4 linked regions of the Arabidopsis thaliana genome follow. The protein of the gene in region 3 interacts with the protein of the main gene of each other region in a biochemical or structural test. Each region holds a gene or a part of one and is shown on either strand. Other genes may lie near its edges. The genes, in order: PRK1, AT1G66830, AT2G02780 and AT1G67510.

What was found.
Region 1: the proteins of AT2G02780 (region 3) and PRK1 form a complex in vitro, tested with the Arabidopsis thaliana proteins (one large-scale study listed by BioGRID).
Region 2: the proteins of AT2G02780 (region 3) and AT1G66830 form a complex in vitro, tested with the Arabidopsis thaliana proteins (one large-scale study listed by BioGRID).
Region 4: the proteins of AT2G02780 (region 3) and AT1G67510 form a complex in vitro, tested with the Arabidopsis thaliana proteins (one large-scale study listed by BioGRID).

Annotation. Positions count from the first base shown.
Region 1 is NC_003076.8:13,594,883-13,599,806, reverse strand, and holds PRK1 (Leucine-rich repeat protein kinase family protein), read right to left. Parts: upstream 2,984-4,924; 5' UTR 2,890-2,983; coding exon 1,560-2,889; intron 1,490-1,559; coding exon 831-1,489; 3' UTR 538-830; downstream 1-537. Other genes in the region: AT5G35400 (Pseudouridine synthase family protein), read left to right, coding at 206-391; AT5G35380 (kinase with adenine nucleotide alpha hydrolases-like domain-containing protein), read left to right, coding at 3,514-3,682, 3,772-3,848, 3,935-4,053, 4,131-4,306, 4,390-4,447, 4,544-4,814, 4,892-4,924. UniProt on the Arabidopsis thaliana protein: Receptor-like kinase involved in the control of pollen germination and pollen tube polar growth.
Region 2 is NC_003070.9:24,929,348-24,934,848, forward strand, and holds AT1G66830 (Leucine-rich repeat protein kinase family protein), read right to left. Parts: upstream 3,591-5,501; 5' UTR 3,488-3,590; coding exon 2,038-3,487; intron 1,961-2,037; coding exon 1,353-1,960; 3' UTR 1,076-1,352; coding exon of another isoform or gene 746-1,075; 3' UTR 551-745; downstream 1-550. Other genes in the region: AT1G66820 (glycine-rich protein), read left to right, coding at 746-1,075; PMI2 (PLASTID MOVEMENT IMPAIRED protein (DUF827)), read right to left, coding at 4,651-5,501.
Region 3 is NC_003071.7:781,142-786,538, forward strand, and holds AT2G02780 (Leucine-rich repeat protein kinase family protein), read right to left. Parts: upstream 3,782-5,397; 5' UTR 3,506-3,781; coding exon 2,245-3,505; intron 2,155-2,244; coding exon 2,033-2,154; intron 1,958-2,032; coding exon 1,711-1,957; intron 1,624-1,710; coding exon 1,430-1,623; intron 1,364-1,429; coding exon 1,326-1,363; coding exon of another isoform or gene 1,301-1,325; exon of another isoform or gene 1,247-1,300; coding exon 1,132-1,246; coding exon of another isoform or gene 1,069-1,131; exon of another isoform or gene 1,043-1,068; coding exon 791-1,042; 3' UTR 533-790; downstream 1-532.
Region 4 is NC_003070.9:25,296,783-25,301,976, reverse strand, and holds AT1G67510 (Leucine-rich repeat protein kinase family protein), read left to right. Parts: upstream 1-1,623; 5' UTR 1,624-1,792; coding exon 1,793-3,281; intron 3,282-3,829; coding exon 3,830-4,500; 3' UTR 4,501-4,671; downstream 4,672-5,194.

The sequences.
Region 1 (4,924 bases), on a different chromosome or scaffold from region 3:
TAAAAAAGGTTTACTTTAAACTCTAAAAAAGTAAAGAACTACACTGTATTAAAGACACATGTATGGGAAGTTGTACAACAGCATCCCCGATCTCATCCCTAAAGAGGCAGAGTCATATTTGACTCTCAAATCTGTATCTGCTCGTCTTGTTTTACATTGCCTAATAATCTACTTATACGTTTATACATGTCTATGTAACTTTCAGATGGTTCGAGTTCTTGTGGCAACATCAATCCGAGAAGCTGCCGCTGGTGCGGAAGATGATGCATTGTTAAAACTGCTAGAAGCTTCATGCAGACGAGCCACAGCTCCTCCAGCTCCATCTGAAGGTCTCTGTCTATTCGACGTTGGTTATACTGACTTTGACCCTCAAACTTCTCTCATTTCCTGAGAATGGCATGTTACATTTACTTAATCATATATTGGATGAAATCTGCATGATTTAGTATGTTTAGTCCGCTTGTCGTTAAAGCAAGCAAGACTTATTTTATTAATATCTCATGATTAATAGTAAGGGTATAGTTATATTTGCCCAAAGCCTTGAGTCATTGACAATGATTTTTATTTAATGGGTCTATTGCAAGATCTATTTACATGCCATATATGGTAACTATGTGAAGAAATCATGTCATGATCTACAGAAAGATGGAAGAGAGAAGTACAATAATCAGCGGTATTCATGCATTTGTGTGTCATGTTTGTTGCAGATACATTATATGCTATAACACAGGTTCAGCTTTCATCTACTTCAATTCCCTTAGTAAAAATGTCTACACATCCATCAAGTCTCATTGTTGTATACAGCACAAGATCAAACCCTTGTCTCTTTCTCATGCAAAGCTGATACTCTCGCATGACTCTCCTTTAGACGACCTACCATCAGTTTCACTCACATACGTTGAGTAGAAGTCGTCATCATCCCCTTCTCGCTCCTTCAACTCTTCGATCTTCTCCACAGCCTGTCCTATGTCCAACCTTTTCTCCACGTCGGGTTCACAACAGTTCAATCCGATCGTCAAGAGTTTGAGAATCTGTCCTTCACAATGGCTTGTCTTCCCCATACCCTTATCAAACAAACTTGGTGCCCATACCCCATGGAAACCCGAGTTCACCCAACTCGCTAAATCCTCTTCACTACTTTGTGAGAAATTAGCCGGGAATTTTCCCGTTAGGATCTCCAAGATAAGTATGCCAAGCCCCCATACATCGGTTTTCTTGGTGATACGTCGATGTTGCAAATACTCTGGAGATCTATAGGCCGCCATGTGCATTTGTGCCTTCTCTTGGTTGATCAACGGAATTAATCCATAGTCTGTGAGAAGTGGTTCAAATGTTTTGGTGAGAAGAACGTTGGAGGATTTGAGGTGACCATGTGGAGCCATTAGGCTAGGTAGGTCTTGGTGGAGATAGAACAACCCCTTTGCAACTCCCTTCACGATCTTCAATCTTGTTGGCCAGTCCAAACTTGGTTTTCCTAACGATTGATTACCTACAAACATTTGACTCGTAAGCATCGATAAATCTAACGACTTATAAGTGTAGAAATATCGAAAACTTACTATGAAGATTAATAGCCAAGCTTCCTCTCTCAGCAAAATCACATACTAAAAGCTTTTCCTCCTTCCTATAGTAATAAGCCACAATGGAAAGCAGATTATGGTGCATTAACCTCCCTAATCTTTTCATGTGCTCTTGAAACTCATCCCTCCCTGCATTGTTCATCTGCTTGAACCTCTTCACGACCATCATTTGTCCGCTTGATAGCACTGCTTTATAAGATGCTCCAAAACATCCACTTCCAAGTATCTCGGCCGAAGCCTTCAACAGATCTTGCAGGTCAAATTTTTCCCTATCTTCCCTCAAGAATGAAAGCTTTGTGTTCTCCACTCCAGCTGCTGCACCCATCCTCTTAGTAGTGCCTGAGCCTTTCCGGTGGTCGGCTTTCTTTCTGTCTCTACGACTTTGGTCTGCTTCTCGGATGCCGGTTTTCTTCTGTAGACTTGATGGTCCGGTTTCCACCGCCAAACGCGGTTTTTTATTCTTATAGCTGCGGTTAAGCAAGAAGATCACTCCAAGGATTATGAGTATTGTCAAGGCCGCGACTATTGCTGTTATAACGAGAGGTCCCCTTGATGATGATTTGGGTCGTGCCTCAGACTGTGGAGGATGTTCTATATAAGGAGAATCACATTCTGTTTCCAGCGGTTTTCCATATAAGCCTTTGTTACCTTCAAACACCTTTGGATCTGTCATGCTGAGACTCTCTGGTATTGGACCTGTTAATGCATTGTTTGAAAGGTTTAACAAGTGTAGCTGATGTTCAAACTCTGGTATCTCTCCAGTGAATTGGTTCCCGTCAAGTCTCAGTTCTAAAAGCTTGGGCAATTTGGCCACAGATGACGGAATTTGACCGGTAAACTTGTTTTGTGCCAAATGGACCTTCTTCAACCACCCCATACCTTCAAAAGCATCCCCTGGTATATCTCCTCCGAATTGATTGTTTGACAGGTAGAGTGACTTGAGAGCAGCGAGTTTCTTGAAGTCAGGGAATGGCCCTTCAAACTTGTTGTTCATGAAGCTTAGAGTCCTCAAGGATGTCAAACCCGACAATGCCTCGATGTCTATAGAACCAGAAAGCTCCAAGTTCTCCATCTGCAGTCTCCAGACGGAGCCGCCATTGCACAAGACACCAGACCAAGTGCAAGGAGGACTTTTAGCATTCCATGAGGCCAACGCGTTTTCCTGCCCAACAACTAAAGATTCCTTGAACTTGAGGATAGCCTCAGAATCTGAAAGACCATGAGTGGGTGTGGAGAAGAAAAGGAGGAGACATACTAGTGGTACCATGACGTTGTATACGCTGAGGGTACGCGCCTGCATGGGAGGCATGAGGCGCGTCCTCTTGAGAAACCTTTGAGAAAGGGACAATGTGATGTTTACAGCTACAGTTGGATTGACACAACAGAGAAAAAAGAAAAGAAAGATGAATGGTAAAGAGAAGGCTTTGCATCAAAAGCATTCCAATAATAGGTTTGTGGTGAAACTTAAATCTCTAATTGCTGACCTGTAATGTCCTTTAAGATTACATCAGACAGCACCAATACACAATTCTCTGTTTTATTTTCTATCTCATCAATTCAACAACCCCATTATCTATATTGGTAAACCCTAAACCCAAACTTGGTACTTCTGTTGAACTAAACAACAAGTTTCAGATATATTCGTTCTTATCTGGTCAAAAGCAGAGGAAGCTACCATTTTTGTTTTGACTTACACAACTATTAGATAACTATACCAACAAAAGAAAATTGAAAAGTCTGGATGTTTATGAAGTCAGTTACATCTATAAGGAGACAATAAGAAAGAGAGTCAAAAAGGTTTTTGTTGGGATGCATTTGCTAATATTAGCTTAGTCAAACGCGTTTCTCAAAATCTGTTTCATTTATATATAAACTCATTGAATATTTGTTTGTTGCAGAACGAAACCGAAACCGAGAGAAGAAAGTAGTGAAAATGGTGAGAACCTCCGAGAAAAGAGAAGAAAATATTACTCTTGCCATTGACAGAGACAAAGAGAGCCAAAACGCGTTGAAATGGGCGGTTAGCAATCTTCTTAGCCGAGGACAGACTCTTACTCTTCTTCATGTTAAACTCAAACAACCCTCCTCTCTTCCCTATTCTGGTATGACGACAAAGCCTATATTTTAACATTAGTTAACTTCTTTGTTTGAGGCTTAATATTCATATTAACATAAGGTTGATTCAATGCAGGATCAAACTTTAGTAAGCCAGGCGATGATCCGTCAGAATTGTTTCTTCCTTTTCGTTGCTACTGTGCTAGAAAAGATGTGCGTTTTCGGCTTTTCGCTTCACTTTTTTTATCTTGTCAAGCATTTCATTTCATTTGACTGACATTATCTTGTTACTGTGGCAGATCAACTGCCAAGATGTGGTTGTGGAGGACGTTAGTGCGGCTAAAGGAATAGTTGACTACGTGCAACAGAATGCAATCGAGACTTTAATACTCGGTTCTTCGAAGATGACTCTTTTAAGGTGATTAGGCAAACGCTTTTCTCCTTACTTAAGACTAAATCTGAGCATCCTTATATATATGTTTTATTTGATAGAAGGTTCAAAGCAGCGGATGTTTCAAGCACTGTCATGAAAAAGGCACCGAGTTTCTGTACAGTATATGTTATCTCTAAAGGGAAAATCTCGTTTCTGAGATCAGCTACAAGTTCACCTCCCCATTCCAATATGCCATCTATGCGACATCATTCACACGCTCAGACGAGCAATATGAATGGTATATATGACCAAGTTTTTTCAAGGACATCATATAAGCTAAAATAGCTTTTCCTAACTGATCAAATGTCTTTCATGTTGCAGTTGAAAGGAGGCAACAAACAATGCAAAGAACACATGATGAGATCAAGATAGAGATCAAGTATGTTTCTTACCTACATAAGTTGTTTTATTTTTTTCCATAAGTTACATTTTACTTATGGTAAACACACATGTTGAGTAGGTCTCCCTTTTCGAGAAGAGGATACGAAGGCGTTTACCAGCCCTCAATAACAGACTCTGATATATCATTTGTGAGTAGTGGAAGACCGAGTGTGGATCAGATGTTTCCTTCCTTGTATGACGATGTGGATGTTCCACGGCTCTCAGTCACCTCTGAGTATGGAGAAAATCGATTGAGTTTTGCTACAACATACTCAAAGCAGTCCATAGATCTTGGCTCACCATATGCACCAAACTCTTCAACCTCATTTGAAAGTGGGAGACAATCATTTTCACTACAGGGCCAAGTATTTTACTACTCTAAGACCAGATATGTGCACATGAGAAATGTTTTTTTCATTTGTTTAATTCTAAAATCTGACAGGATGAGCTTGAAACCGAGATGAGAAGGCTGAAG
Region 2 (5,501 bases), on a different chromosome or scaffold from region 3:
ATTAAGCAAGTATATAAATATGAACCTCAAGCAAAAATCTATTTTGAAAAAAAAAATAGATGGAAACAAAAAGTTTGTTAGGAGGGGAGGTTTTGTTTGTAACTTGGAGAATAAGGAAGTATGTATTGGTGTGTTTGAAGAAACAAAAATAAAGAAGAATAGGTCATTTTATTAAGTTTGGTTGGGCCAATCATGAATAAGAATAGTTAATGAATTGATGATTAAATTGGTTTTTTGATATATGCATGTATGTTTAGTTTCATGTTGTTAACGACCGTAGTAAGGTAAGGAATATATGTGAGTTTTGTTTGCTTAAAGAGCACAACTTTAACTAACTATGGTCCCTCTTTCTTTCCTATGTGTAATATACTTCAATCAAAATCTTTCGTTGTAGCTAACTAACTAGAAAATGTTTCCTTCCTTCTAACCCAACAACCCTGCCCAAATTACCTTCTTACCCTTTCTACGACATTTTAAAAACAAAATATCATATAACTTAATCCAAATCTGTATTTAACATTTTCTTGAAGAATTTGTATCTCATGTGTATCTTTTATCATTAAAAAAAACTGATAAATAGGAGAGAATCTGTAGAGACTTAAATGGGTTAAAGCCCAATATATGCGACAATAAGCCCAATAAATACCTCAACGCATATTCATCTTTTTTCTCAAATCTTATCTGATTTTCTCATCACTCATAAATTCACAATTCAGTGATCGTCATTTGCCCAATCACAAAACCAATGGGATCAACTAATAAACTCTGGAGCCGTAAACCAGACGTCAAAACCGGGAAATCAGAATTTCCGGTTACCAGATTCCTCCGTACACAAATCGATAACATCAAGACAACAACCGTCGGTCCCGGAATCGGCGGCGGCATTGGCTGCGGCGCTGGAATCGGCATTGGTCTCTCCGGCGGGCTCGGAATAGGTGCCTCTGAAGGACTTGACCATTCTAACGTGGTTCTTGGATTCGGTATTGGTTGTGGTATCGGGTTCGGGTTTGGATACGGATTTGGAGTTGGCGGCGGGTACAGTTTCGATGACATCAAAGAGAGATTTGACCTATGAAAAAAAGCTCCGGTTCATAATTCCGGGTCGGGTTTGGGTAAAAGATTTTTAAAGCATTATGTTAATTTTGTACTGTATTAACAGTTTTGTTAATTATATAAGTTCAATAAAAATATCCTCCCTTGTGTCCTTTTATTTTTCATAATAATATCACAATTATGAATGATTAACAGAAAAACCATAAAAATTATCACATGAAATTTATGAAGTAATCTGAAAATTATGAAGTAAACACATAATCTAATTAAAATTATTACTTTTCATTAATTAATAATAATTAAATAGAAGTTACCAATTTCTCGAAGCTCTCCAATACACTTCTCATGTGTGGTCTTTTATCTGGGTTCTTCTGCACACAAGCTAAACCGATCTTGATGACTTGAACCATACTATCTTCCAAATCTCTATCACGAGCTAAAACCGGATCAAGAACATACCAAGCCGGTTTATTTCTCTCACTAGCCGATTCAACCCACATAACCAAATCCATTTCTGAACTAACCGGAGATTTTCCGGTTACCATTTCGAGTATCACTAAACCGAATGAATACACATCCCATTTCTGAGACGGTTTAGTCATTTTTGAAGCTGCTTCAGGAGCTTGGTAATATGATTCTCTAGAGAGGATTGGTGAGCTTGTCTCCATGGGAGAGATTTGGTCTGATCTGATATCTGAAGACGTGTCGACGATACGACCTAGACCGAAACCGGATACTTTCGGTTCAAGATTCGGTCCTAGAAGTATGTTGCTTGTGTTTATATGTCCATGGACATACCTTTTGGGACTAAACTCATGAATATAAGTTAATCCTTTTGCTATTCCTCTCAATATTTTTAACCGGACCGTCCAGGTTAGTTGCTTGCATGACACGCTACCAGGTCTACCTGTCATAAATTTTTATGAATCAGTCTTGAATCTTAACTATGGTCATAGATTTATGCGATTTTGACACTAAAATTACCTTGAATTGCAGAACCAAGGTCACCATTTGGTATGTAATCATAAATCAGGAGTTTCTCTTCAGGAGACCAGCAACAAGCCTTGAGATTCAAGACATTAGGGTGCTTGATTTTCGCCATTGCTTCGACATCAGCTAGAAACTCTTTGAGCCGTAGCCAACCTTTATCTTCTAATCGTCTAACGGCTAACATTAATCCATTTTCAAGAACTACCTTGTACACAAGCCCGATCCTGCTCTTCCCTAGAAGAAAAGCCGAGGCTTTTAGAAGCTGGTCGAGGTCAAATTCGATTTCCGGGTCCATTGGCATGAAAACTTGTTGATTTTTGTTCTCATCTAGCGTTTCAGATTCTGAATTCCCAGTCTTGAAACAGAGAAACTCTGGCTTTGTCGTCTTCTTCAGTTTCTCGTTTATATGACATGTTCGGTTGTTTTGATCTTTGTTTGCACGAGCCGATGCTTTTCGGAGATAGTAGATGAATAATGAAGCAAGAAAAATGATTCCGGCGACTGTGCCTCCAGTGGCTGTAAGGATGATGCAGAGTCTAGAATGATGGTTGGCTCTTCTTGTATATAGTTGAGAAGGAACTACTTGTGTGTTTCTTGTGCTGCAAGAAATCTTTATCGGTAATCCACAGAGGAAAGGGTTCCCTTGGAAAGCATTTGGACCGGCATTCAACAGAACGTTGAATTTTGGTATCGGACCACTGAGATTATTGTAAGAAAGATCGACATAGAGAAGCTCAGGGAGATTTCCAAGACTTGTTGGAATCATACCTGAGAAGAAGTTATGAGAAAGATCAAGTGTACCTTTCAGATTCTCCAGACTTCCTACATCTTCGGGGATCGTTCCAGTCAAGCGATTGAAAGAAAGATTCAGTGTCCGAAGATGAACCAAGTTAGAACCTAACCCTGTTGGAAGATCTCCAGAGAAACTGTTCTTGCTAAGAACAAGCGTTTTCAGCTTCTTGCATGGAATAAGCGACAAAGAAATCGAACCGTTGAAAGAATTCTCCGAAAGATCCAGAGTCATTAGACTCTTCAAGCTACCAATCTCTTCTGGGACAAACCCGGAAAAAGAATTTCCAGAAAGCACCAAGCTTTGAAGCCCTTTAAGTCCAAAGAGTTCCACAGGTAACTTCCCTTGAAAGTCATTGTCTCTTAGGTTAATGTGACGAAGGGACAAGAGACTTCCAATGGATGGATCAAGAGAACCCGAAAGACGTTTATTAGGAAGACGAATCGAGACAACTCTCATATCATAATTACATGTAACACCTTGCCAAGAACAAGGGTTTGAATCTGAAGAGTTCCAATTGGTAAAAACAGAGTCACTCTGGTTTTGTATGGATTGTTTAAAGGAAAGAAGAGCAAGACCTTGATCGTTTAGAGAAGTGGCTATGGCAAAGAAATGAGTTAGAATGAAGCAGAGAATGAGAAATAACTGAGACATCTCTAAAGAGAGACACAATTCTGAATTGAGTAAAGTTTGGCTCCTAAATATCTCCAAGAAATTAGTGTTTATATAGCTTGGACTGGCCTAGTTTTCAATCAAGTCAACAGTTTTAACTTCTTATCAATTCTAAATTTTTTGAAGATATTTATATGTTTGAAGAAACTTATATCTAAATTCATGCATCAAACAAATTGTATATACCTCATTTACATGTCAATGGAATTAGCGATGATTGAGGCTATAATTGAAACAGTAGGGGACACGTAAGGTAATGAGGAATAGCTTTTCTAGTTTCTAGTTGTTTAGTTAGTGGTGGGGTAATGTATTGACAATTTTACTTCCAAATCCTAAAGTCAAATCTCCACCAGAATTATTGTTGTGCCGGTCAATTTAAGTTTTTCGTTTCGATTTGATTTGTACTCTAGTTTACTTCTAGATTGTTTGTTTCTGTTTTGGAGTCTGAGACAAATATAACTAGTTTGGGGGAAAAGAGTTAACATTTGTCGGAAAAATATATGAAAACAATAATATTACTTGTGTGAATTTTATGAGTCATGGCCAAACATTTCTACTATGATTGTTGCATAATTTTATAAGTTAATTTGGTTTTAACATTAGCAAAATATTATTTCGAGGAGCATTTAATTTAAAATATAAAACATAAATTTATAAAAAATTTTGTAGACGTTTGTGGTACAAATTAGCTTAGCCGGTAATCTTTTATGTATTTCTAGTTGACCAGAAAAAAAAGATACAAGTACATAATTTTGTTTTTTTTAAAATATGAATATGATTCATTCTTTACAATTAAATTCGTTTTTACTTTAATTTACTTTGATTTGTGTGTCTATAATATAGTTTATGCCAAAATTTCTTTTATCAACGGCTGGTCATGTATGAAATTTGTTGGTTCTAGTTCGATATAAACCATTCAAATTACCAAAATCAAATATGAAAAAATTTACCTGACTCTTATACAATGCAATACATTATTTTCATTAATATACACCTAAAGTCTACATAAATACATCATTTTTTTATTATCAAAAAATAACAAAAATACAAAACAAATAAATCACTTACAAGCTAAAAACAATGTGAAACTTAACACGCAAGCAATAAAAAAACTTACACTCACTTCAACAAGATAACTAAACTTCTCATTGTTCTAAAGAAGAATTACGCCTCTTCCGGCTAAAAAATTTGACCATGTTTGGAACTTTCTTCTTCTTCTTGATTACAAAGAATGTTGGAGTCGCTCGGTTCCCTGATGAGTACCTTCTCGACTTCCCTCCCTGAACCGGTGCAAATTTCCCGCTCAGCCTAACCGATTTTCTCACCGGTTTAGGAGAGTTGATCAAGCCATTGTCTTCTGAATTTCCCTTGAACTTCTGAATCTCATCTTGGACCAATCTCTTTATCGATAGCGACCTCTGCATCCTAAACGATTCCCTCTCTTCTTCCAACATTGTTTTCCCACTCACTCTCTTTAAAGATTCTGTCTTTATCATAATCGCCTTAGTGCTAGCCTTTAGTGCTTCGACCCACGCCATTGCTGCTTCCACTTTCTTCTCTGCAGTTTCTTCAGCATGACAAGCTTTTCCACTCAAATACTCGTACTCAAATCTCGATATTGTAATAGTTGAATTACGCCGAGATTCCATTTCTCGAGTTTCCATTGTTTTCTCTACCATTGTTTCAAGCTTCTCTAGAGCTAAACTCTCTGCGTGCTTCGCTTTCTCAAGCTCATCTAACTTGGAAAGCAACTCTTTTTCCTTTCCATCAAATCCTGTTTCGGTTTTCTGTATCTCATTGTTGATGATCCTTGCTTCTTCTCTAAGCTTAAGCTCCTCTTTCTTTGCAGCTTCTCTATCACTCTTTAGTTTCTCAAACGAAGTAGTTAAATTGTCAGCAAGATAGCTGATTCTTTCTTCAGCTTTAGATACTGCTTCTAATTGATCTTTCGCAATAAGCAGCTTCGTATTGAGTCTCTCAAGCATTACATCATCCT
Region 3 (5,397 bases):
GCTGGTGTGTATGTGTTTGTGATCATCGAGCGTTTGTCATGATCCTGTCTTCTTGTGCCTATCTATCTTGGAGGCTCAAGAGATTGGTCAAGAAGTAAGAAGCTAGTAAAAGCCAATGGTATTGTAACAAAATTTGTTTTGTGAGCGAAAATGCATTGATCAGTAGTATGTATGCTAGGTGAGGTAACTTGGCAAAGCCACTTGCTGTTTTCGACATCTTACCTAACCTGGGTATAGCTATGGTTATTATAGTTATGTGGAACACAAGCACTTGTTTTTAGCTAGCGATACAAGTCATAACAAAGGAAGTTTATAGAATGCTGGATGAGGTAGAGACTTCTGTATTGGAGATTGCCCGAAACACGGAGTGTGGTTGAGATGGAGAGGTTAGACGTGAGCATAGTGAGAGGTTTGCAGTAACTTTTGGGATTTTCTATAGTATTCCAGGCACAGAGATTCTTGTTATAAAGAACCTGTGAAGGTTTTTGAAGATTTTGATGTCTTCATCAAGCAGGTTAGCAAGATTGTAGACTGCTGATTTGTTTTAAGAGATGCACGAATGTTCAGCGAAAGCAAGCGCGAATACAACAGAAGAGTCTGCAATGTTGTCGAGCAAAGCTGGACACACTCTCTTACATGTCTTTGTGTGTTTTTCAACTCCTTTTGCTTTTTATTCACAGATTACTAAGTTAGCTAATAAAAGATATTTCAGGTAGTCCATGAAACTACATCTTGACTTGTTTGAAACTTATTATTGTTTCTACAGTTTTTGCCTCTCTTTATGATCATTTCATTCATATATTGCTTTCATGGATGATTCATGATTCCCACTGCTTGGTCTCCATCCTTGCTGCACTTGAATTGTATACTGTAGATTCCACACAACGTCTTCTATGGAAGGACGCTTGCTCTGATCTTCGCAAAGACAGTTGATAGCAAACTCTACTGTCGTCCTCAACGACTCATAAGCATATGATCCTTTAACAGATGGATCTGCTAAGCTGCTCAATACTGATGGTTCATCTCTCAAACCGTTCTCCAGCTGCAGGAAATAATAACATTGAGGTTCTAAATTTGTAAGCCGTGTCGGATTCTTAAAGATGAAAAGGTTCTGACTGAAACAGAACAGACCTGAAGCTTCAAACTTCCCATCTCTGAAGATCCTGCAGCAACTACTTTCCCTGTGATGATTTGTAGTAGTATCACTCCAAACTGGTACACATCTTCTTTCTCTCTATCTTCATTACTGCACATTATTCATTAACAAGTTTCAAAATTTGATAGAAGAGAACACATTTGATCATATCTTAAGAAACAACAACAACCTCCGAGGTTTTTTGGCTTGAGGCCTCTCTTCTCCAACCTAGAAATGCCATTAAATTTTCTTAGATTCAATTAATAGAAGAAGAAATAAAACAAAGTTTTATACCTTGGATGGTAAAGGAATAGTATAGCCACTGATTTTTACTGTGAGTGTTTCATCAAGCATGATGTTCTCTATCTTCAAATTGTTCCCAAAGATTCCTGGTGCTACTCCCATATGCAAGAACTGTATCCCTCGAGCGACTCCTATTGCTATCGCCATTCTCTGAGGCCATTTCAGTACCTCTTTCTTCCTACAGTCTGATCACAAAAATTCCCATAATGAATAACCATTTGAGTCTATGGAAACCTGAATATATATTCTAATCTTTTTCAGGTTATTATTACTTGTGAGAAAGTCCCGCAATGATCCACTAGAGATGTATTCTTGAACAATGAAGATGGTGTGTCCAGCGTGTTGATTGTGGTCTTGGTTACTGGCAATGGAGTGTCCAAGAACGCTAACCAAATGCATATGCCTTAGCTTTGATAAAACTTCCATCTGTTGAGCTAAGCTTTGTGGCAAGCTCTTCTGCTTCAGCTTGATAACTCGCACTGTCACTGGTATGCCTTCTCTTAGACAACCTCTATACAGCTGTTCGAATACCAAATATATTAAGTAATCTATTAGGTTCGTCGCCAGAGTCTCAAGTCAAGTTTTTGTTTTTACCTGTTCGCAGAACAGGCTAGCTGCATCAAAGTCGTTAGTCGCTTCTTCCAGTTCCTCCAAGGAGAAAACGCGGTACGGTGGCAAACCAATCACTGCAGATCTCATTGTCTGTGGTACACGTCCTACACTCAGAAAGATCCTGTTAATGGTTTTTGCTAGAGAAAGACTCAGTTTCAAGTGTCCAAGTATTAATAAGATAAGTCATTGTTTACTTGAATCTGGTAATGACTTAGAGCTGGCAGTTGTGGTGCTGCAAACAGAGACTTTATCAGAGGCATGTCTCTCATTGTTGCTGTTGTTCACTTCAAAAGGATCATCTTCTGATCTTGATCTTCTTCTTTTGAGGGCAATCAAAACCAACAGAACCAAAATTGCTGCAAGGATGATCACACCGATGATTATCAAAATCACTAACCCGAGTTTGATTCTTGCAGAATCTTTATCTTTAGCCTTGGGGATAGGTTCCACAGCTATTGCCTTGCTTGCTTGGTTTTGACAGAAAGAAAGCGGACGCTGATACTTCGCGTTAGGAGTGCCAATCAAAGACAAGCAGTTGAATGAGAAAAGCACTGTCTGATTACTGAAACTCTTTGAAGAGTAGCAAGAAGGAAGCTTTCCAGTTAAAAGATTGTGAGACACGTCTAAAGTTATAATCTTTGAGGAGGTGCAAGAAGAATTTGGAAGTGACCCGCTTAACAGATTCTGATCCAAACTGAGAATTTGAAGAGAAGGAATCGAAAACAGAAACTCTGGAATCGACCCGGTGAATTCGTTGGAAGAAAGGTCTAAACTTTGAAGGTTATTCAGCTTCTTGATCTGTTCTGGAATCTTGGATCTAAAGGAGTTGTTCTTCAATGAAACAGTGGTGAGCTTACTTGGGAGTGAAGGAACTTCAGGACCGAGTTTATTACCTCCCAAATCCAGCTCTTGAAGATTTGATAATCCTCTGAGATCATCAGAGACAAAACCCCAGAACATATTGTCTCTTAAAACAAGGCTTTTCAGATTCTTCAAAGACACAATCTCTTCTGGAATCTTCCCAGAGATGAAATTAGAGCTAAGATTGAGAGACTCAAGAGACGGTGATAGCTTAGTGATGATCTTAGGAGAAAGAGAACCAGAAATTCCGAGAGAAGTAAGAGACAAAGTCTTTAAGCTCGATAGTTGTGTAAGAAGAGTGAAGAGTTTATGAAAACTTCCAGAGAGCTTACTAGTTCTGTTCCCGGTGACGGTTAACTCTGTTACGTGACCATGGAGGCAGATGATTCTCAAGGAAGGAGACGGACGAATGTGACAGAAGTTGGTTGTATCAGTCCATGATTGAAGAACCTGTGGATATTGTAGTTGCTTCTGGATTTCAAGAAGAGTTTGTGATTCACTTGAAGCTACCTGAGACTCAGAGAGTACTGGAAGAAGGAAAATAAGAAGAAGAAAAGTGAAGGAAGATAAATGGATTTGAAGAGAAATCTGCATAGTGAAGATGTGTTTTGCCTTTAGAGAAACAGAAACTCACTGAAAGTTATCATTTTTCTAGGAACAAAGACAGATCTATAGGTAGTGTAGAGGAAAACTTTGGATCAAGAGAAGAAGAAGAAGAAGTAAATGAAAGTAGAAAAGCCAATTAAGGTGGAGGCAATAAATGCAATCTTTAAGTTCTTAAACTTGGTTTGGTTGTTTGTTCATTACTGCACATTGCACAACCTCAACTTGACAGACTGTTTTGCAATGAATCCAAGAAGATGAAATGTTTATTTATTTGATTTGATTACTACTATAACAAATTAACAATAAGAACTTGTATTTCACATGATTTTTGCTTTGTTTTATTAGTAAAACAAGTGCTTTTGGTTATATATGATTGATCAGATAAGATTATAGAGATGTTTCATTACTTGTCGGTGATAGGTAATGAGGATTAAGAAATTTATGTCGTGTTTTGTCTTCGAGAGAGAGAGAGAAGCCATTAGGTTTGTGTCTTTTCTTTAAAAGTGTGGTTAGAGATTCTACCAAATGTCGAGCTGTTTCTTTTATTCTGATGAACTGTTCATTTACTAATGTTAGAAAATTTGAATGGATTTTATATGATCAAGCACATCTGCACATGCAAACGGCCTTGGAATAATCGTCACTGCGAAAGTATCATTTAATATTTTCTGCAACAGACATTTTTTTTTTATCGAAAAATATGCATTTAAAATTCAATTATTTAATTTTTATTAAAATTCAATTATTTAATTTTATTAAAATTCAATTACAAATCAAGTTTGACAAAAAAAAAGAGAGGTTATTTTGGGCTTCATACGTGTAACATTTAGCCCGTATATTATATATAATACGGTTAGGCCCAAAATTGTACAACCTTTGAGTCCATATATATTTCCAAATATTTTAGTTTCTATATGATTTTTTTTTTTTTTTTTTTTTTGACAAGTAATTATACAAAAAATGATTTACTTAACATTGGGACATATATGTACTATGCTTATTCCTTGTGAATGCTAATACAGTAAATTATTTATAAACTAATCCTCGATAAATTACTATTTTTACAAATTAATAAATTCTTGACGTTTTCAATGTAATAAATAACACAAATCAATGAAATTATAAAATAATAAGTTTTTAAAAACTCTTACGTAAACATATGATCTCATCAATATCATAAATTAATAATTTTACACTTATTAATATATATATATATATATTTAATTAAATTAGTGGGATTTAACTCTAGTATTGTTCATTTTTCTTAAATTTGTATAAAATTTTTAGTAGAGTTCATTTCTAATATTTTTACTATATTGAACAAAGTGTTTTTTGTTTACTAACTTAACAATTGGTTTTTTATTTGTAATTTATTTTTGAAAGACATTGATTATAAAGACAAAAACTACTTCTCACATAGAAATTTTAAAAAATTACAAAATTAATAAAATCTCTCTATAAGATTTATTAATAAATTAATACCTTTATAAATTAATTAGAATTTATCGGTTCCGAGATTATTAATTTATTAAGGTTTAAAACTGAGCCTATAAACAAAAGAGGAGGAACAAGATCGTATTTCTAGGGTCTCAAACTACAAAAATGTAATGTATGAATTCATTGTAATCTATTTCAGTTTGTTTTTTACTTAGCTATTTAGGATCCTAGAATTTATTTATGAGCTTCTTTTGATTAAACAAAACTTTCGATTATTGTGTTTCAAGAAAAGTAAACTTCTCGGATCCTAAAACTTTGATTAGACGTCATAACATGTTTTTTATTCAGAATCTGATTTGCAGCTTTTTTGCCTTTCATTTACTGTTTTACACTAAATATATAGACAATCATCAAAATTTAAAATCTTCTATTTAGTTTTAGCT
Region 4 (5,194 bases), on a different chromosome or scaffold from region 3:
GGTGTGACGGCTAAATGATGTAAGAACAATGAAAAATAAAAAAAAGAGCAAAGTAGAAGGGAAAAAGCAAAATTCGGGAGAATATTTTTCCACCAGTATTTGTATTGGAAATTTTTTGTTGGTAATACAAAACTTTAAAGAGCTGCTGAAGTTGAGTAATCTTTACGATGTTCATTTTCAATCTTGAGACTATATCTATATGTGTTAAGATTGTATGGTAGAACGTGATATAATATCTGTATGGTAACACGTGAGAGTAGTTTGTTGGTCCATTCTACAAATCGAACTACCACATGACAGAAACATGTATGATGTAGATGTACTGTATATTTTAACAGTTGCGGACAACATTGGTCGGAAAAAAAAAACTCATACCAAATTGGTAAGTAGTGATATTAATTTTGGTTCAATTTCTTGATCATGTGAATAATAGAATTAAAATTTAGCCAAGCCAGCCAAAACCAAAAGAATCCGTAAGCATAGCAAATATAAAGCCACTTTCGAAACTAGCAACAATGACGGTGAAATAATTTTATCCTAGTTTAGTAGACTAGACAGTAGAAACATGATGTGATAAATAAAATGATTTAATCTCATTTCTCATACTTCACTTAAATAAGATATTATCTTATAGATTTCATGCTTTAGTTAGCTTCTAAGCGTGTTTTAATGATTATAGGGGGACATAACGACATTAACAACACACCTCAAATAGTATAGTTTAAATGTACATTTACAGAAAATTCATTTTAAACTGATTCTAAAATGTAAATTTACAGAAAAATTAATTTAAACTAAATTGATAACCCTTTTATGAAAAATATTCTAAGATGTTAGTCGCAAAATTGAAATAATAAGAAAAAGATTTATAATAAGAAAAAGATTTATAAAACTCAATTTTAAACACAATTATTGGAAAAAACTTCTATACAGAGACTTTGAGAGACCAGCGAGCACGTGTCAAAGGCATGGCATTTACTTCGACGGCTAAGTGAGGGACAGGGACCCTGACCGTAACAGTTCCCAAGGAGTTACAATGTTCCGTACCTCCTTCATTTGCTAATCCCTAACACTTACGTGAGTAGTGTTAGTTATTTACCCTAATCAACATTTGGATTAGGCTAATCCATGTTTGTGAGGACCACTATGATATTTTTCTCTCTTTTTTTGTTTCTTTATCATTATGATATCATTATAATGAAAAAAAAAAAATGGCGAAAAAAAAATATCATTATGATAAATAAATATATAATTGGCAATCAATTACACATGCCACCATACTTTTACCTTTGTTCACAAAGTCTCAAAATTACAGTACTCACAGTCAGTCAAAATTATAGTACTCATCAATATAAACATTACTAATTTAGATAATTTTATGTTAATAGTGGATCTAATTTATGAACCCCCAAACAGTAAAACTTTTTTTTCTAAAACATTACAATAAAAATGATATTTGTAATACCGCTATATATTTTACGATTAGTCACAATCAAAACGGTATCAATCGACAAAATTACTGATGACCAATAGAAATTTTGGCAAACATTATTACAAAAATGTGTTATGTCAAACTAAATTAAATGAAAACAAAAAATTTGTAATTGAATTATTAAATACGTTGCCATAAATTGATGTTTTGCCCTTAATTAATTGATTACAGTATGATTAAAAAGGTATAACTAACATAAATAAATACCCTTCAAGAACCAACCAATCTCTCATTCTTTCGTCACCCACCTTCTTCACTCTCTGTTATTTTCACAAACCAGAAAAATTCAAGTACAGAGAAATGATCCTTCTCTCACTTCTTCTCCATCTTCTTCTTCATCTCCTCAACACTTCTCCTTCTCTTTCTCTTTCCCCCGACGGTATCGCTTTACTCTCACTCAAATCCGCCGTCGATCACTCCTCCTCCTCCGCTTTCTCCGATTGGAACGATAACGACACCGATCCTTGTCATTGGTCCGGAATCTCCTGTATGAACATCTCAGACTCTTCTACCTCTCGCGTCGTTGGAATTTCCCTCGCCGGAAAACATCTCCGTGGCTACATCCCCTCAGAGCTTGGCTCACTTATTTACCTCCGTCGTCTTAACCTCCACAACAACGAACTTTACGGTTCAATTCCTACTCAATTATTCAACGCGACGTCGCTTCATAGTATCTTCTTATACGGTAACAATCTCTCCGGTACTCTTCCTCCTTCGATCTGTAAACTCCCAAAGCTTCAGAATCTCGATTTGTCTATGAATTCGCTCTCTGGAACTCTTTCACCGGATCTCAACAAGTGTAAACAGCTTCAACGGTTGATCCTCTCCGCTAACAACTTTTCCGGTGAGATTCCTGGTGATATCTGGCCGGAATTGACTAATTTAGCTCAGCTTGATCTCTCTGCTAACGAATTTTCCGGCGAAATCCCTAAGGATATCGGAGAGCTTAAGTCTCTCTCTGGTACTTTGAATCTCTCCTTTAACCATTTATCCGGCCAAATCCCTAATTCCTTAGGAAATCTACCGGTGACAGTCTCTCTTGATCTCCGGAACAACGATTTCTCCGGCGAGATTCCTCAATCTGGTTCGTTCTCTAACCAGGGGCCAACCGCATTTCTCAATAATCCGAAACTGTGTGGTTTCCCTCTCCAGAAAACTTGTAAAGACACTGATGAGAACTCTCCGGGGACTCGAAAGTCGCCCGAGAATAATGCGGATTCTAGAAGAGGGTTAAGTACTGGATTAATAGTGTTGATCTCGGTGGCAGATGCAGCAAGTGTAGCTTTTATTGGTTTAGTGTTAGTTTACTTGTACTGGAAGAAAAAAGACTCTGAGGGAGGGTGTAGCTGCACAGGGAATGCGAAACTCGGTGGTGGTTCGGTGAAGGGGAAATCGTGTTGTTGTATCACGGGGTTTCCGAAAGAGGATGATTCGGAAGCGGAAGGTAATGAGAGAGGAGAAGGGAAAGGAGATGGAGAGCTTGTAGCGATTGATAAAGGGTTTTCTTTTGAGCTTGATGAGTTGTTGAGAGCTTCTGCATATGTTTTGGGGAAGAGTGGGTTAGGGATAGTGTATAAAGTGGTGTTAGGGAATGGAGTTCCGGTGGCGGTGCGGCGACTTGGGGAAGGAGGGGAACAGAGGTATAAAGAGTTTGTTACGGAGGTTCAAGCTATGGGGAAAGTGAAACATCCTAATGTGGTGAAGTTAAGAGCTTATTATTGGGCTCCTGATGAGAAGCTTTTGATTAGTGACTTCGTTAACAATGGAAGTTTAGCTGATGCTCTTAGAGGTATTACATTACTTCTTCCTTCTTCTTTTTCTGCTTATCGAATTAGTCTACTAACTAAAGTTTGAGATCCGGTTCTGTTCTATTGACTTAAGAAATTTATGTTGACTTTGACTTTGTCAACGCTAGATTAGACATTACTACCTTAGTGAGAGATGAGATTAGATCTGAGAGATAGTTTGTGGGATTGTCAAAGCAAGAGTGGACCAAGATTTCTTTCTCTTTTTAGGCATATTTTGGTATTTTAATTTAGAATTTAGTCAAGTTACATGTAAAAGAGACATGTCTTGTAAGAGAATTCGACATGTCCGAATAATAAATATCTTTTTTAAGTATTAGTATATGATTTAAGTGTGGTAGAGTCTTAGAGTAGAAGTAATTAGTAAAAATAGCAGAATGAGGAAACAATGATGAGAGAAGTTTACTTGTGGGCTAAGAGTAATGATTTTATACACCCACTCTGTTGAGCCTCTAGCTGTCCCGTCTTTTTCTCATCGTAACTCATTACTTACTTTAATATTGGATACTTGTTTGTTTTGGTGTGTGAATAGGGAGGAATGGTCAACCATCACCGAGCTTAACATGGTCAACGCGTATAAAGATCGCAAAAGGAGCTGCGCGTGGGTTAGCTTATCTACACGAGTGTAGTCCAAGGAAGTTGGTACATGGCGACGTTAAGCCTTCCAACATTCTTCTTGATTCCTCCTTCACTCCTTACATCTCTGACTTCGGTCTCACACGTCTCATCACCATCACTGCCGCTTCTGCCTCTTCTAACGAACCTTCCTCCTCCTCTGCTGCGGGTGGTTTCTTAGGTGGAGCTCTTCCTTACACTTCCATCAAACCCTCAGATAGATCCAACGGCTATAAAGCCCCCGAGGCCCGGCTCCCTGGAGGGAGGCCTACTCAGAAATGGGACGTATACTCCTTCGGTGTTGTGCTTATGGAGCTTCTCACCGGGAAATCGCCGGATTCTTCTCCGTTAAGCTCTTCCTCGACGTCTACGGTGGTTGTTGAGGTGCCGGATTTGGTGAAGTGGGTGAGGAAAGGGTTTGAAGAGGAGACTCCATTGTCGGACATGGTTGATCCAATGTTACTTCAAGAAGTTCACGCCAAGCAACAAGTCTTGTCCGTTTTTCATCTAGCTCTCGCTTGTACCGAAGGTGACCCTGAAGTCCGTCCACGTATGAAGAACGTCTCTGAGAACATCGACAAAATCTGATTCAATTATTATATTCTTTTTTCTTTAATTTTTCCTATTATATTTTTGTATCTCCGATAGTTCTTACACGAGGTCGTTACGTCACTCCCACGTCTGGGACTAGTGGTCGATTTGTTTTTATTGAATAATTATTTGTTATGAAAATTGAATCAAATGAGTTATACTTTAGGCTTTAAATGGCTTTGTCTTTTATTTTGCTGTCTTTTTCTCATCTGTTAAAAGACAACTCCTAGTTAACGGGCACTTGTCTTGTCCTTCAGTTGAAGATACACATACAAGATCTAATATCTTCCAAGAACCATCCATTTGAAATTTCGCTTTTCATAGAGTTTATGCAAATGTGGATTTGGGTTTTTAGATTTAAACGGGTCACAGAATATTTAACTTGGGGTAAATTTTCAAAAAAGCATAATGGATAATTAAAATTTAGATTGGCCCATTATATTTATCAGGCCCACTAATTAAATGTTTGTTGCTTTTCTGCTTTTTGACATTTTACACCGGCAACCTTTGTCGGAGAACGGTTAAGTAGCTGGGATAACTCAGGCGGCGTCGCGGTTAGGTAGAGTAGAAGAAACTACAAGCAAGAGAGAGCGATTCACTGAAGGTAACCACGTCTTAAACAAAATGAACCGAACTATAACCGTTTGGTTAGAAGATTTAAAACGGAATGATCCGGTTTGATTTTTTGGTT